Linked DNA regions of Neodiprion lecontei. The protein of the gene in region 2 purifies or fractionates together with the protein of the main gene of each other region. This does not show direct contact. Links are inferred from orthologs where the notes say so. Each region holds a gene or a part of one and is shown on either strand. Other genes may lie near its edges. The genes, in order: ribonucleases P/MRP protein subunit POP1 and ribonuclease P protein subunit p29.

Region 1 (9,414 bases), on a different chromosome or scaffold from region 2:
CAAGATAAGCGACATTTTATTAAGCCCATTAGTTTGCATTTCAGGGCGAAGGGGGGCGCTGTAATCGATCGCAGCGTCGAACGCGCATGGCACGAAACTGTTTATTAACAAATACATGATATGTGACTATCAGATGTAATCAGCCCGTAAAACTCATACCTTCATCAAAAGCGTATCCAAAATCTTTCAGCGTTGTAGGAAATACAGGATCAGTCATTACTGCCAGTTTCGTAAACTCCCAGTTCACAATACTGCTAAAAATGCGACGTATCACCCTAAACATGGGACTGAAAAATACTACAGAAATACAGGCGTGTAGTCTTGCCGCGTTTTTGATTCTCGCAGATCACTTGAGGTAGAGCCACCTCGCGGACGGAATCGCCACACCAGCTCCTATCGCATGCTCAACATGTTTGACGACGTTACCGACGATACTTGGGTGCGTGGTGTTTGTCAGGTTGCTTGCGATCATTTGTAAAATGTGGCATCTGAAACACTCATTTCGAATCTCATTGCGCGGCATGAGGATTGAGGATTTTGTGAGAAATGTTTCCCTATAACGGGGGAAAAAATTCCCAAAACTTACAGTACATACATCATTTTTGTTATTAGAATGATTATTATCGTTATTGTTGTTGATCTTTTTTTTTTTTGTATACAGTTTATTACTTTTTCTTGGAACTACGAAATGCAGAAAAATAAAGCCTAGGAAGATGACGTTCGAAAAAATTCTGCGTCAGATTTTCCTCCATATTCAGAGCTTTGCTGATTTCAGTCAACTGGCACTTGAAGACCCACCGACCGTTTTCACTTCACCAGTCAATGCAATTGCCTCGATTTCAACCTTCGCCCCCTGAAAACGAGTGATCGCACTTTTTGTTAATTTTCATGAATCTACCTTGATTATGAATCATGAATTCATGATCGGTTGCACCCCACATTTTTTGAACAATTGGATATTTAGATTAAAGGAATACCGTACAGTAGTACCTGGATTAATCGAATGAACGATTTTTACAGAATCAATTTTTGTCAACCCTAAGAATATCATAACTATGGTATACAATTCTTACCGTTACGGGATACATGTTGTAAAAAGCAAGCATGCTATTTACCGAAAACGAGATAATATTACTCAAACGAGTGACAAATTTTCAAATAAAGATCTTACCAATGGTAGCTTCCCAACCTGGAATGTGGACCTTGCTGGATAATCCTTTGTGAAAACTGTAAAAAAAGCAAATTAAACGACCATTAACTAATTGTCGATTAGAGCATATTTGTGTTTAAAAAAATACTGTTATCAAAATAAACAAACTTACATTCCTTATAAACTTCGTTTACAGCAGAAAAATCATCGATACTGTTGAGCAGGATAGTCGTCTTTATAACTGTAGCAATAAAACATGAGAAATTTTTTAATTTATGGTTTCTCAACTGCTGCCGTATGGTCTCGAAACGAACGACGTATCGCCGGCATACAGGCAATTAGAGTTACATATGAGGTACTCCAACTAGAGGTGAGTAATGTAACTTCGGTTGCCTATCTGCCGGCGAAACACCGTTCGCGTCGAGATCGGTCACCGAAAACTGATTGTATTTTATAATTATCTTTGTATTGAGCGGTTACATATTTAATGTAAAGTAATAGATAAAAACCTTTCTCAAAGTCGGAACCCGCCTCCTTTAAAATACACCCCATATTGACGAGTGCCTGACGAGCTTCTCCGGCTGCCCCACCATCGACCAGCTTCCCAGAATCCTTATCAAGCCCAAGTACTCCAGAAAGATAAACGGTTCGGTCGACTAGGACAGCTTGACTATTAACAATAAGAAAAACAATGATTAGTATCTCAAAAAAAATTTGCAAGTGGAACAAAAAATTTTGATTTTTGTTACGTGCATCACCAATGTTTGAGCAATACAATTATCAACGTAGCATTGTTATCTACACACCGATATGCAGTAAATGGCGTGCAGAAAAGGAAAAATAGTGAGATAACTAAACATCATATTTAGACGTATCCGTTCTTAATAAAGAACAAGTAATGACAATAATTTGGCAGAAATCAAATAAACTGTATTGAATATATGTAATGTAAGTAATATGATATTGATATTCATTTTAATTCTTTTTATTTGTGATCGAAAACAGATTATTGATGCGCTTTTCGCACCGGAGTCGTCCGTAAGATGTGAATACTATGTATTATAAGAAATCGTAACTTGCACGATCAGTAAATGAATAACGAAAAACATTCGTTAGGTAAACATAGAGGTATCCTGATATTTTAACTCACTTATAAGGGCCAACGGGTTTAGGCGCTGCTGGACAAGTAATAATTTTCCGTATTATAGACGCCATGTTCTTTCAGGGCAAACCGCAGTACACTAAGAGTATAAGCGACTGACCGGCTTTCTCCAATACCGAATTATCTTTTTATTTGTATAGAGGTATAATTCAATCAGTCGTACATATACGTCCGCGCATGCATGTGGAATATATACATTTTTCAAGTAGTGTTATGTATTCGTGCACGATTGTGTGCAGCTCACAAGCATTGTAAATGACGACGTTTGATACACTCTGTGAACTATGACCTGTGTGCAATGGCAGTGGCGTACACATTCAGCTATGCTAGTGAACGTACAGCAATTAGTAAAGCTACTAATACCACGTGATGGAACAAATTATCAGCTATCAAATATCGGCATATTTCTGGAGTGCTTGCGAATTGATTCGTATAATTCAACATGTCCGTACAGAATTCTTCCATCCCGAAATATCACAAATTAAATTTGAAAGATATGTCATATGATGAACTATCTCAGCTCCATAACTTCATGAGTGTATGTTAAACTTTGTAGAAAAACTTTTTGAGAGAAATCTCGACCCCTAAAATTTTAGACAAATATAAGTGACTGAGATTTTGTCTGTCCTTGTTTTAGTCTTTGATTTCTTTATTAAAGTGCGCTGTAATTACGACTCACTTATATGGTCCGGCCGATTTTGGTGCCCTTGTAGTTGATATAATTTTTCGAATAATTTTCATCGCCATTATTACTGTATGATATACGCAATATTGTCAACCTTAGGTATGAGGTTCGTCGCGTAAGCTAGTACGGTGATATAATGATGACTGATTCGGACGGAGTCGCAATTTTCAATACGCGCAAATTGTAACGTAATATTCTGCTATTGTTCGTGCGTATCATTTATTTCTATTCATGTTATCAGTTCAAAAGAAAAATCGAAGGCCGATCAATGATCAACATTCCTAACACTGCAATTCCAATACTGGAGATTGTGAATAACTACGCAGACATGAGAAACTAGAACTGTAATTTTCTTGCCTGCGCCTTAGTGTTAGACATCTAGGTATACACCAGAACAACATACACACGTGGTCGAAGATGAATGATACTCTTTCTGTCACGTGGTTCGAGCAAGACTGAACATAACCTCAAATCAAATTTCGAAATATCGGCTCGTAGTGTTCGTTGGAAGGTACAAATGCTTGGATCAGAATCCAATTACAATTTCTCGTACAAGAATTGTCACGGAAACTTCAAGTATGGCGGAAAAGGCTCAATTCGACATATTCCTCGGTGGATCCCAGGAATTACCTCCCGAAGCACATATCATGAAACTGGCATCGGCGAGAGCGAATGAAATCGCCGCGATGACTTATTCCATAGGTAAAATATTTTCCCGTCCATTATAAAATAAACCTAACCTAATCTAGATATTGTTCCCTCTCCAATTCCTGCTTTTGTTTAAATGTCTCTGGTGCTTCATAATTCAGCCACCTTGACATGGAATATGTATCTTTCCCGGATGTATACCCAGGTTTTTCTTTCTTTTATTTCGTCCCTCATTTCCCCAACAATGCCATTAACTTGATAATACTTGAGAGTGTTAATTGCGCGGGAATTTTGAATTTTTATTGAAGAATGACCATTATGCCTTGATATTGCAGATAATCCTCAACAGACAAAATTAATATTCCAAAAACTACCGATGCATATGCGTCGCAGAATAATGTCCCACAATGCAAAGCGTATGCCAAGGAGACTACGAGAGATGCATATTCACCAAATGTCAAAGTCAGGTTTGCCACCCAAAACAAAAAGACCCTCCCGAAAGTACCGGCGAAGGCCACAGAACCTGATCGCAGAGTACAAGCGTAGGCAGGTAAAGAATGCCTGGCTTGAAACACACGTGTGGCACGCAAAAAGGTTTCACATGGTTGAAAAATGGGGTCACAGGCTCCCTGAGCACTCAAATGATCGCAGTTTTAGAGCGAGTTACAGAGCAGTAGCAAAACACTGCCTGCTACAGGACATATCTTACTATTCTTGCATTCAGCTAACTGGACCGATTAATGCGCTGAAAAAAATGCTCAAGAATCACTGCGATCCTGGCAACCTGAGCTTCACAGCAAAATCCTATATCCAGGGTAGCAGGGAGGGGAATCTTATGTTCTACAGGAAGAACGGATATCCAACATCACCTGTGGGAACTGTAGAGTTCATATGGAGGCCTGGTAACTCTGAACTAAAAACATTATGGATGTGGGCGCATCCTGCATTTTATCAGCTAATATTGTCGGAGATTTGTAACAGCTTCAAGTTTAATCTTGAGTCTCCGTGCCATTCCTCAGATTCAGAGTATTCGGGTGCTGATAATTGCAGATTAGTATTACTGAAGAATTCCTTGAACAGGTTCAGACTTTGCGGTCCATTGAGTCTGGCAGTGCTCACGACTGCCCTACGTCTGCCAGAGATAGGAAAAATTCTTGACGAAGTGAGAAAATCTGAGGGAGAAGGAGATGAAGTGAAGTCACATACTACCATGGAAACAGATTCACCAAAATGTGGTGATTCGGATAGTGATGTTGAAATCGTTCAGGTTTCTAAGAAGGAAATTGAACCAATGGACGTCGAGAGCAATACTCGTATTGATAGAGATGACAACAACGAATCACTTGAGACTACTGCCCGATCATGGTATTCGGAGTATTATAGGGACTCAGAGAACATTCAGTCACTGCAAGTTCAAAAAGAGGTTTTTGAACATCTGAGGGATCTTAATTCACCCAACCAGCTTCCCCCATGTGCAGTTATGGCTTTCACAGTTTTGGATCCAAGATATTTCGTCCCGACTAAACGAAATAAAGCGCAGACAAATGCAAGGACCATTGAGACGATTCCTGTTCCTCCCACACTTATTAATGTTAGTGCAATATGGGAACCCAGAATCAGAAAATCATCGGTGAAAAACTTCAAGACTACAAATGAAATAAACAAACTGAGAAGTGAAAATTTAGTTCCCGGTATTGGCAATGACGATAAATATGACCAAAGCTATATTGCCAAAGTACCTATTCTTCTTATTCAGAGGCCTGGATGCGGCTATGGAGAAAAAAGTCTTGGTAAGCCATGCAAATTGCATTCATTCCATCGTTATTTAAAATTTATCTAGTCATTCTGGATGTAGTTATGACAGTTTTTGAGAATGTGACTTGTGAGCTTCTAGTATTATAACAGAAAGACTGAAAGGCAAGTAAAAATTTAAGTCCCAAGTGTATTTCTTCTATCAAACTCAAATTTTGAATTGGCATTTCAAATATTCGATTGTTTAACTGGATTAATTATTTTCAGGATTCAGTTCTGGAATCGACGTAATTTTACCATCTGGTTGGGCAACTCCGTTTTGGATCTCGTTTATTTTTCGTTGTGCCAAACCAGGAGGTTTGAGGGAATCAACATCAATTATATTTGAAAATCTTAGGTTGAATTCGCCTGATTTTAATCCGCCAGATACAGAAGCATACATAAAAGAAGCTTCAGAAAGAAAGACTAGTCTAATGGAAAAGTATTTCAGATATCCTCCAAACAGGAGATCAAATTACGTGAAACTTGGTATTTCTAGTCCGTTCTATTGCGAGTGGAATTTACTTATCAAGGAATGGACAGATATGGCAACGTTCTATGTACTCAGAGATAAGAAACTGCTTCATTTAATACAAGAAAATATCTCTCATCAATTACCATTGAACCGGCATAAGAAGTATCAACAGCTTTGTGAATCAAGTTTCGACAAAACTGTGTTCAAAGACACTAATACGTTAATAACTGTAAAGATTGTCATAGAAAGCAAAGGGTGTCCCAGAGATTTTGCCATAATCTGCTTACCCCTCTCTGAGGATTTAGAAAAATTGGGCCAAAAAAGAACCTGGGAAGGGCCTGTAGCTAAGCTAAGAAAAGACCCCAACGAATCGATTAGAAAAACTTTGAGAAGGGGTCACTTGGCGCTATTGAAACGTTTGAGAAGACAAAGAGTAAAACAGCGGATTAAAATGGAGAGTAGTGATCACAGATCGGTTGAGCCAAAGCCCAGTTCCAGCATTGCGATGTCTAAAATAATTTCGCGAAAAAAGGCTCAAAGTATTGTTGACCTGCAGGCTGAAAAGATGAAGAATCTCTATTTGCCAAATTGCAAAACGATACGAAACTCTTGCGATCGAGAAGTTATGGGATACGTGGTTAAAGGAGACTTCAGTTTTACCGAATCAAAGGGAATCGGACTGGGATACGTAACACTTCCCTCTCTGTTTAGCCTAATTAAGCAGAAAAGTAACGTAGTTCTGATCAGAAACACAAGATCTAGACAATACAGACTCGCCAGACTTAGTATACTGACATGAATAACTATTGACCTGTAAATATATTGTGAATGATCAATTAACTTCAGGAGAGTAACGTACAAATGTATATAAATCAACGATTTCTTCTGGAAATTCTTAAATAGCGCATCAAGGTAATTGTAGAAACCATTTGAATGTGGCTCTAAGAGATTTATTTGAATACCTTATTTTGCTAAAACTATTACATTGTGACAGGCTATGCGCTAATTATTATGTTTCATAAATAAAATTATCGCCTACCATAGACGGAAGTATATAGTATATTGGGAAAAGAATCATGATTTTTAAAGTGTAGAAGAAGAGAGTCCAAATTCTCATCAGTTATTTGCCAGTGCGATGTACAAACAATAAACGAACTGGCAGTTCTTGTCATTTGATATTATTATTACCAGTAGTTTCCCATTGCACGTTGAGCAATTGAAATTAAATCAACAAAGTAGACTTTTCCCGTTTACAAATCTAATGAAATAAAAGCCCGTGTTTAACAGGGCGTTTTAAAAAATCGTGCCTTCGTTTTATTTATGATTTTTATTTTATTATTTCGATCTTATATTCGCACATAGACATGTACGTACATGCAATAAAATACACAGGTACGCCTACATGTTACTATTTTATATCTACTAGTGCTTTCATTATTATTTTTTCTTCGTTTTGCCAGCAAAACTTAGCAGTCGTACTGTATACCTATTGCTACTATACAAGGTATTTGAAAGATAATACTTTTTTAACCACAATAAACAGTAATAACCCCGTGCTGGCGCTGTGAATCTATATCAGAAAACTTTGATCCAATTAACAGTAAGATTGCTATGTAGCAACTTTATTTAATGGTTCCAATGAGCATACTTCGAAATAAATTAAATAAGTACTGTAAAAATATATACTTTAGGTCTGAAAAACCTTCACCTTTGAATATCATTTTAAGAATTAGCAGGACTGCTGGTGGTGACCAAGCTATTTTGAAAAGTATTCGTTAATTTCTGTAAGTGAATATGTGTAGTTTCTAACACCGATTATAAGAAAGCATGGGGAAAAAGAGTCGAGGAATTCTTGCAAGTTTTTCGTTAACAAGATAATCAAAACAAGGTATTAATGAATAAATTTGGAAAGTAGTTTGTAAAACTTTGAGTAAGTTTAATGAAAAAAATTAACTAAATTGTTAGATGGGTACACATTACCTATATTAATTAATAAATGGAAAGATTAAACCGAGGTTTCGAGGCCAGAAAGCTTTTGCTCAATTGCTAGGATATTCTAATTATTTGACCTATGACAGGTATCTTTTTTAACTATAATACAGTGGGGTATATTTTAACAGGATCGTTTTATTTCATTACATTAAATAGTTCTGCGATTACTAAATCGACTCTTTAATTAAATTCAATTCTAAATTTGTTCTTCGTTAGAATAATTTTCTCAAATTTACATTCACGAATGTAAATTGCACGTTTTTCTTTTTTATTGCAACGTGTTAATAAAACGTCAAATTTTGAAGTAGCCAGTTTTCTACTGAATAGAATGGTAGCAATTACCATACCTGTCGACTACAATTCATTTTCGTATTGGTTTTTGATGTTTCCTATTCCATTTGTTTTTCTTCCCTAGTATGTTTAATTAACGACTAAAAATAACGTAGCATTGGAATTATTGATTTTATTTATAATATTCATCACTCTCAATAATAATACCAATAATAGTGATTATATTATTAGTACCATCATTAATTGATACAATTAATTTAGTTTATTATGGCTTGAGAACTTTTTCAACGAACATCTTCATATCGCGCATCTCCTGAAAATTTCAATCGCACGGAATCAATTGATTTCTCATGCTCAAACCTGTAGTACAACTATCTTCAATAAGCTGCACAGATTAAACATCGCGTGGAAAAATAGTAATACATAAAAAAACAAAAAATGGGATACTCACATCGTCGCAAGATGTGTGCATCATTCCTCGATACGTTTTAAACTCTGTATTGGTCATGAACTGCTTCAACAACGATGCAGTCATCTGGCCCCACTTGTATGGAACAATTGGATCGCAATCACCGTGGCACTGCAGCAACGGGACATTTTTATTGCCAACCGCACTCTGGAACAAGATGTAAGAAATGCACTGTGCAACTGCAGCTGATATAGCATCGTATTGCAATTTCTTTCAACATACGGCGGGGAACCTCTGATGCAAAGGGAGCCAAGCTGATAAAGCTATGACGCCTGCTAGAGGCTCTGGAAACGTGAGTGCACTATACATCGCCAGAGCTCCACCTTGACTAAATCCTCCGATAACGATTCTCTTCGTTGGTATACCAGCTGCGACCTCCTGAGCTATCAACGAGTGTACAACTTCTGCAGCCCTACGGATACCCTCTTCATCTTCTGGACCTGATGGATCGAGCGATCTCAGGTCAAACCTAAATTATTTAAAAATTTGAAAAGACATGGGAAATAACGCTGTACGTACCACTTTTCATTCTAGTGAAACATGAGGGAAACATAAATTACAAGTTCGCTGAAAAACAATATCAGAACATGAAATTGGCCAAACTTGTTGCAGTTATTCGATCTTACCACGAAGGCATCCGGAATCCGGCGTTCAACGTCACTGGCATAGTTGGCCTAAAAATCGAAAAAGGTGTTTTGAATTCTTGCTCTTCATAAATTCTTGTCATATGCTTCCGAAATTATTCATGTTA
Region 2 (8,399 bases):
AAGCCTGGAGTTCTCGCCAGATTTCTGAAGGACGAGGAGACAGTTCAGCAAATCAGAGGAATATTCACTGGTAAATATTATCAAAATTAGATAGCATACTTTTACACTAATGTTGTGGAATAATAATCAGTAAAATTACGACTGCATCGGTTTAAAGAATGGTCACTGAATCGATCATTTTAATCTGTTATTGATTCAAAATTTTCCAGGTCTTTATGCTTTGGATTTTGATGAACACGGGGAAAATGCAATAGACATGGGGATAGCAAATCCTGAACGCTTTGTTTTGAAACCGCAGCGAGAAGGTGGTGGAAATAATGTTTATGGAAATAACATAAAAACCGCACTAGAATCCATGAAGGACCAGCAAGAGAGATCGGCATGGATCTTGATGGATAGAATCCAACCACCGTTGCAAAGAAACTATCAAATACGAGCAGGAAGTGATACAGATACAGAAATGAAGGAAGTCGTTTCGGAATTGGGCATATTTGGTGTATTGATCGGCGATGAAAAGAATATTATCATTAACAGACAAGTTGGTCACATGCTTCGAACAAAATTGGCCAGTGCTGATGAAGGCGGTGTTGCGTCAGGATTAGGGGCTTGTGATAGTCCCTATTTAACTGACTAGTTGAAATGCACATGTAATACCATCGTTGTTAATTATCACCTGATTTTGTACTTAGCAGTCAAGAACTAAGAGAACAACTACTGATGAAAATCTGACAAATGATTGTAATTTACGCCTAAAAATTATTTTATACGAAGAATAGGCTTATTTAGCATTTAATGTGACAATAACTCATCCCTGTGCCACACATTCTATTTATATGAATATATTTTCGATGATACTTTATCCAACGCTTCCTAATCAGCCAATTGTCGGAACTCGCCAGAGAAGTATGGAGTAATAAAATAATATATTTCTGGACTAGTAATCCAGAGTGATCACTTGTACTACGTACTAAGTTTAACCTACCATCCTTTTCTTAGATACGTCTAAATTTACTTTATGGTGTGATATTTTCTACTATTACTTATAGTCATATTGTATATTGGAATAAGTCTTTATGTTATATAAACAGGGGGATAAAGTTCTGAGAACCCATACATCCAATTAATTTGAAATTTTGTCACGAATGTTATAGTAAAAATACCCGCAAATATGAATTTCACGGTCAAAACTCACAAAAACGAATTTAAAAAAAGTTTTTCTATGTTATTTCGATAAGTGTTGATCTGAGAAAAAAATGTTTTCTACAAAATTTGTAGCGTATAAAAAGATTGATCTTATACCTATGTTCCAAACAGTTTTTGTTTGAAATAATTATTTTCTCGTTCAGGAAAATTAGGATAATGCTTCAATATGTACGTTATTATGCATCTGTCATAAGGAGACCCAACTTATTCTAACCTTTGGTCTGCGATAGTCACCAATCCTAGTGGTAAAGTGTGTAAATAGAAAAAAAATCGAAACTAATGGACTTTTGGCAAAACGTACTTATTGGAGCATTATCCCATTTTTTCCAAAAAAAAAAGATTTCAGACAAAAACTGTGTAGAACATAAAAGATCAATCTTTTTATAGGCTACAGCTTTTGTAGAAATTTTTCTTTCTACGATCACCGCGTATCGGAATAAAATAGAGAAACTTTTTAAAAATCAATTTTTGTGAGTTTTGACCATGAAAATCAAATTGGCGGGTATTTTCACTATCATATTCTGATCAGTGAGCCAAAATACATGGGCATTCGAAATTCCAAATTGATCGGTATGGGCTTTTCGGAACTATACCAAAACAGGGTGCTGAACCAAAAAATGAAGTAAAATTCACAATGTCACATTTACCTAGTCTTTTTACACATGTTATTTATATCGCAAAAGCAGAAGAATAATAAAAGAATTGCAACAGAGCATTATCTATGAAGAGGAAAAAGCCACTAAACCATAGACTGCTAGTAATCGTTCAATATATGTTTTTTTGTTATTACATTCCAGCAATGCCAGATGTGATTCACGCAGTAGCTAAATATGAGGTAGAAACAGAGCCCCGTGAAGTCTACTTTTTCCGAGAAGGAACTGTTGTTTTTTGGAATATGTCAGAACTTGAAAGTGGAAATTTACTGAGATTCTTGAAATCCTATGAACAACATAGTTATGCTGATAAACTGGTGCAGTCAGAGAGTGAACTAATGCTGTACACGCATTTAGAATCTAGGTAAGATATCAGAATGGTTGAAGTGTTTTTGATTGCGCCGATCTTTATTCCAATTTGTATTGCCGATTGATATAAGTCCTAATTAACGGATGCTCAATGTATGTACCTGACAACCTGATTTTTGGTATACGTTACAGTAAAAAGAGCCATTTGAAAGAAGGAAATATCATGTTGGCACCAAATGCCACAGACTTGGATAAATACACATTCTCAAATGCAATTGCACTCTCTGTCAAACTTGGCATATGGGAAGCATCACTAGACCGTTATGTGGATTCAATTGCTTTTGTTACTGATGATCTGAAATCTGGTCGTCCAATAAAAATGAGCAGAGAAGAAGTTCTGCGAAAGCAAGGCGAATTATTTGCGCTCAGGCATATGATCAACTTGAGTTCCGACCTTTTAGATACCCCAGATTTTTACTGGGAAAGAGATGAATTGGAAAATTTATTCCAACAAACGTGTAGTTATTTCAGTATTGCCAAACGTACTCGGGTATGTGAAATTATAGTAATACACAATATGTCAATCAATTTAATTTCGTACTAGCGAAATATAAAACTGCTTAAACATTTCTCCATTGTTAACGAATTCGAATTGAAATCTTAGATTACCTTTGTATTATAAATTCAATTATGGATCTGACCAATATTTTATATAGAATAATATACATGATTTCTGTCCACAGGTGATGAATGAGAAACTGAATCATTGCGTTGAACTTGTAGAACTTTTGTCATCCCATCTTAGCGATCGTCATCACGTTCGTTTAGAATGGATGATAATTGTATTAATTATGGTTGAGGTAGTATTTGAAATACTACATTACATCGATCGTTATTTTGCCGATCAACCCCAAACATCTGAAGTGTTGACCTCCTAGTTACACTCTAATATCAATTAAAATATCTATGTATATATATATATATATATATATCATTTTCAGCGAGTAATTTCTACAATAGCAGGTTATAAATACTGTAAATATATAGATAATTTGCGTTTATAAAGTATAAATAGTTACTTATTTGTTATTTGCCACATATGTTGTCTTTACAATAATAAGAGAAACAAATGTATAAGGAATTGAAAACTGTTGTAATGATGATTAGATTTATTTTAGTTATCAGGCTCATGCATTATAGGGGCATTGCCTAATTTTAATTTTGAGAACTTTCGTATTGACTTTTCAATGCTGTGTAACATGTGTTATCTGTTACACAAAATAAAAACAAAGTAGAAAAATAAAATTCTCTACCCTAAATACATTTTTTGATAGAAATAGCTGCAGATTCCAAGAATATGAATATTTTTCGAAAAGAATTTTTAAGGCGACTCGATGTTTCAAATTTTCAAATCGAGATGAATCGAAAACGTAAACATGTGTCGCTGCATGTCAGATCCAAAGGTCAGATCGACCTAGGTATATGAAGCTAGCCTGTGAACTTCGAATTTCTTAAAAATTTTCACGAAATTCCTATGTTGCAGGCCAACTTTACTTTCCTGCCTTTCTTATAAATTGTCATAAACTACACCATGTTATAAACCATAAACGTCAATTACTCGTCAACTTACCATGTGCGTGCGATGTGCACGTGACAGCTGCGTTTGATTCGTGATTGCTTATGCTAACTAGAACTCAAGTGGGACCTTATGATCTGTCATTTCTGTTCTTTGGTAGGCATTCGTGATTCAAGTTTTGATCACACATTATTTATTTCGATTTTATATCGTAGGAATTAGAGAGAGTTTATAGGGAGGGGAAACACAGTGAGTTTAGGTTAGATTGCAGCAAGAATCTTCGGAAAATTTATTGAAACCATGTCGGGTAAGATGCCTTTGTTGAACGTTTTAATTAGCTGCAATACAGAATTGTTCATATTCAGATTCAACTATCCGTAATTTGTATTCTTCCAGACAACGTGTGTCTTCAACTTCCAGTGTCAGTGGTTAACCGTGCAACAACATCGACGGATCGCAGTGAATATCTTTTAAATCTTTTAGAAAATATCTTACCACCCTCAGATACTAAATCAGTTAATGAAGAATTGAAAAAGGTAATAAGAATAAAAATTTTACTTCCTTTGTTCCATTCATCAGTCATCTTTTAACATTTTTCACTTTTCAGACATTCACTTTCAACAAATACAGAACAAAGCATGTTCGCCGTAAACCAAAGAAGGTAACATTTTTAACAGCCAGAAAAAGATCAGAACTTGGCTTAAATAAATTGGATAACAGGATTAACTTGAAATACGTTGATGCATTAGCATTGAACCAGCTGTGGCTAGAATACATGCGACAAATGCTTGGTGTTAACAATTTCACTGATTTACCGCAAGGACCAGTCGAACCAAATTGGGACAACATTGGTCAACAATTGCTAAAGGCTGACTTCCATGGAGCAAAAATTGTTGTCATTAGATCTAAATGCCCAAGTTTGGTAGGCATTCATGGCATTGTATTGCAAGACACTAAATGTACCTTCAGAGTTATTGGAGAGGATAGTATTATCCGAAGTAAGACAACTCTGAATTTTAGCATTGAAATCTAATTCTATTGGAAACAAAACTTCTGATTTTTATTGAATAATTTATCAAGATTTGTGCCTAAAGTTACCATGCATACAAAATTTGCACAAGCCTACAAAAAAATGTTAAGACATCCTCATTAGTTACATGCACTTAAGTATATTATTCGATGAGAACGAAAAGGGATAAGAAAAGATATGCGATTAGCAGTATACAATGAAAGATTTTAAAGTTGCTTTCTGTAAACCATCATGAAAATATTAACGCTTTTTTTTCTTGTAGCAATTCCAAAAGACACAGCTGTATTCAAGATATGTTTGGGCAATGTGAATTTACAATTGTTTGGCAGAGAGTTGTGTGTCAGACCTGCTGAGAGATCAGTGAAAAAATTTAAAAGTGCTCGTGTACCTGATTTATAACATAATTACGATTATGAAAATACAAATATTGCTAAAATTTTCTTGAGTACTTTTAATGACTTATCAAATATCACAAATGAGGCTTTCCCATAGTCAAGAGATACGTGCATAAAATTGTATCTTTAACAAGTACGTTGTGCATTTTAATTTTTAATTTTTTTATAATTTTTATAAAAAATGTTTAGTGACGAATATCATTTGTTACTGGTTAATTAATATGGGAATGTGTATGATAAGAAAATGAAAATATGTTCGTCAAACAGGCATTTGTTTATTTCTCACTGTGCATATCCACTTGACACAGTTGTTATATCTTACAGCAAAAACAATTGAATGCAATCCAGTTCTTCGATCATCCATTCTCGATAATTACCTTTTGTATCATTTATTCATTTTTTTTTTTTTCAATAATATTAATTCATATCATATTTTTGTCTACTACTTACATGTTACACTAAATACCAATATAATATATAATAATATAATTATATATTTATAATATATATGTATAATTACTAATAATCCTTGCTTTTTTGTTTGCTTTTTGCAATAATTAGTTATAATAGTATTTCAAAATATTCAAATAATCATGATATTATAATAACAATTTGCGATGCGGATTGGTTAAATCCTTATTCAAATAATAAATCACTAACCACTTCATTTCCAAAAATTTCATTCACGATCAATTTGATTTAGCTATGTTGAAAAGATAAGTGCAATGATGGAGTTTTGGGATTGTCGCGTACCTTTCGCACGCACCACCAGTTCCTAACGAATTCTTACAATTTATTTACCATAATTTAAAGGATCAGTAAACCAATTACACAGGCCTGAAGAATCAGAAACGCAACTAAGAATTCTACCCTAATCGATCCCTCACGAGAAATAATTAGTGTATTTGAGTTTAAAGCATCCCTCAACATGCAGTTAATAATTAATAACGATGCTCTTGTCATGAGATTTGGATTAATGTTCATATACCCACCGAATCAGACTCGTGTTACGTGTTCACTGTCCCATTCAATAATCAGGGGCAATCTACAATTATCACTGCGTTACGTTAAGGCGTATAACTTATTGAAACAATTTTTTTCCAAATAATCAACGTGTTAATCATGCCGTCAGTACACTTTTCAACGGATCAGTTAAACGTACACAGTATGCTGGCAAAAGATAGGTATTTTGCGACGTACCACTGTAAATATTTATTCAGCTACTATAGAACGGTAGCTTCCGAATTTAATTTAAATGACAAATCAGCCACTATTTCTATGAATCATCAATAAAATGTTAATTCAACATTTTTTTTACAGGTTAAATGATTGCTATTGAAGTGTGGTGGACAAATGCTATCGCAGTATTAACATCATTTAAAAATCAATTGATATTCTTGCTCCTGTCATCCATGCAATTCCGATTATTAAGGAAGACACTTTCCTTAAAAAATTTTAAGCCTATTGTATTCAGATCAACTGTTAGCACAGCGTAAACTGGAGCTTATTAAATAATTCGGAACGATTTTTAAATCGTGTCATTACTTCGGGCATATCATTTTTTTAATAGCCATGTAAAAAATTCTGCCATTAAACAACTGCGGATATGTCAAGGACATATAATTATAGCCCCCCTCAACGTTCTTGATTGCCCCGGTAAATTGTCAATTCGATACTATTGTTACTCAATTATGTAAAGCAGCCTAATGAACATACCATATACATATTATATACTTTATTTTTTCAATTATTCATAAATCCTCTAATTAATACTAATTTTTGTTGCGCCCACAAAATGCTTTTTTTTAGGAATAACTGTATTAATAATTATTTTTCATTTTTTTTTTTTTTTTTTTTTACATGAGACGTTTTTTGAGATTGAATAGTTGACAATTATTACAGCGGTAGATGATGTTTTATAGAATACATGTTTCTAGTTTTACTAGTTTATTAATTTTCTCCTTCATTGAATTCTTTTTTCCTTTACAACTACTAGCTTGACATTGCAAGATATTTGTCAGACAGCAGATTTCTGACGGTTGACTGTAACGTATCAATATTAATGGAACCTTGCTCTAGCTAAACCTTATAGAAAAGTAGGTATTGTTGATCATTGTGGAACGTGTTGTGAAATGTGTCTCACATACCGTAGCCCTGATAGGCTGCAGTAGGAGGTGCATAAACTCCTTGACCCGGAGGTGCATAAACACTTTGAGGTGCGTAACCTGGTGCCATCATTCCTGGTCCTGCTGTCAACATCAACTGTGGCTCAGCTGTAATTAAATTATAGCGTATTTTACAAATATTTTTGACACCTACCATTAATTTGAAAAACTTCCCGATACAAAATTACATTTCATTGATATCAATAAGAATCGTGTACAAGTATTAACAATTTTTTAGAAAAAAGGAGCGTTTAAATACCAGAACACATGAACTTACCATTTCAAATCATTTAAATTAAATTAAATTAACACTTACGCATGATCATTGGTTTGTGCTCCTGTTGATCTGTTTCTTCCAAGCGCTGGCTTTCAGCTTCTTCGAGTTTATCAACCTAAACGAGGGATTACAAATGAAAATCACAAAACAAAAAGACAAAAAAAAAAAAAAAAATGTGAGTGACGTACATAATAGTATTTGTTTAAACTGATGAGCTGTTTTTATAATTTTCATGGAAATAGTTTCAATGCTACAATACCTTGGTGATGTACTCTCGGGCAACTTGAATTAGATAAGGCATTGCGAAGTGAAGGATTCTGTGCCTCCAGGCAAGTTCCAAAATTACATCGGGATGAAGCAAGTCGTAACAGTAGAAGAGGCAAGCTGCAAAACAATCTTTTGATCCTCTCTCTAAGAACCATTCTAGCAGTTCCTCAGCTACCTCTGCATTCCTAGACTCCGCAGCATACTCCATAGCATCTCTAAAATTTAGTGAAGCTTTCAAAATGTAGCAACTACAGGGTTAACAAAAATATTTCAAACTGAAGCAGCCTCTCACCGGAATAGCCTGTCTTTTTTGCAAAGTTCAACCGATTGTTTCCATCTGTTATTGCCTTTGTACAGGTACGCCGCAATCCTTCTAAACTCGATTAGCTCGTGTTTCTCAAGCTGCTGAGCGAGAGCAATGTTATCAAAGTTATCAAAAGCGTCTATTGACGTCCTCAAACCTTGATAATCTTCCTCGTCAATGAGAAGACCATTCAATGCTTCATTTATAGCTTTGTTGTTCA

What was found.
Region 1: the proteins of ribonuclease P protein subunit p29 (region 2) and ribonucleases P/MRP protein subunit POP1 purify together in Homo sapiens (affinity purification with mass spectrometry; 5 studies listed by BioGRID and IntAct, counting the BioPlex papers as one, with this or other methods). This does not show direct contact. The link is inferred for Neodiprion lecontei from reciprocal best matches to the Homo sapiens genes POP4 and POP1.

Annotation. Positions count from the first base shown.
Region 1 is NC_060264.1:26,746,177-26,755,590, reverse strand, and holds ribonucleases P/MRP protein subunit POP1, read left to right. Parts: upstream 1-3,335; 5' UTR 3,336-3,575; coding exon 3,576-3,699; intron 3,700-3,980; coding exon 3,981-5,435; intron 5,436-5,664; coding exon 5,665-6,710; 3' UTR 6,711-7,197; downstream 7,198-9,414. Other genes in the region: FAM172 family protein homolog CG10038, read right to left, coding at 160-283; 2-iminobutanoate/2-iminopropanoate deaminase, read right to left, coding at 776-853, 1,172-1,227, 1,323-1,391, 1,660-1,820, 2,992-3,059; acyl-protein thioesterase 1, read right to left, coding at 8,460-8,507, 8,646-8,810, 8,886-9,132, 9,290-9,337. UniProt on the Homo sapiens protein: Component of ribonuclease P, a ribonucleoprotein complex that generates mature tRNA molecules by cleaving their 5'-ends. Also a component of the MRP ribonuclease complex, which cleaves pre-rRNA sequences.
Region 2 is NC_060262.1:35,013,794-35,022,192, reverse strand, and holds ribonuclease P protein subunit p29, read left to right. Parts: upstream 1-3,644; 5' UTR 3,645-3,845; coding exon 3,846-3,897; exon of another isoform or gene 3,898-4,041; coding exon of another isoform or gene 4,042-4,048; intron 4,049-4,137; coding exon 4,138-4,277; intron 4,278-4,348; coding exon 4,349-4,739; intron 4,740-5,033; coding exon 5,034-5,170; 3' UTR 5,171-6,603; downstream 6,604-8,399. Other genes in the region: glutathione synthetase, read left to right, coding at 1-70, 210-634; required for meiotic nuclear division protein 1 homolog, read left to right, coding at 2,001-2,220, 2,358-2,715, 2,909-3,103; clathrin heavy chain, read right to left, coding at 7,306-7,439, 7,648-7,723, 7,868-8,090, 8,168-8,399. UniProt on the Homo sapiens protein: Component of ribonuclease P, a ribonucleoprotein complex that generates mature tRNA molecules by cleaving their 5'-ends.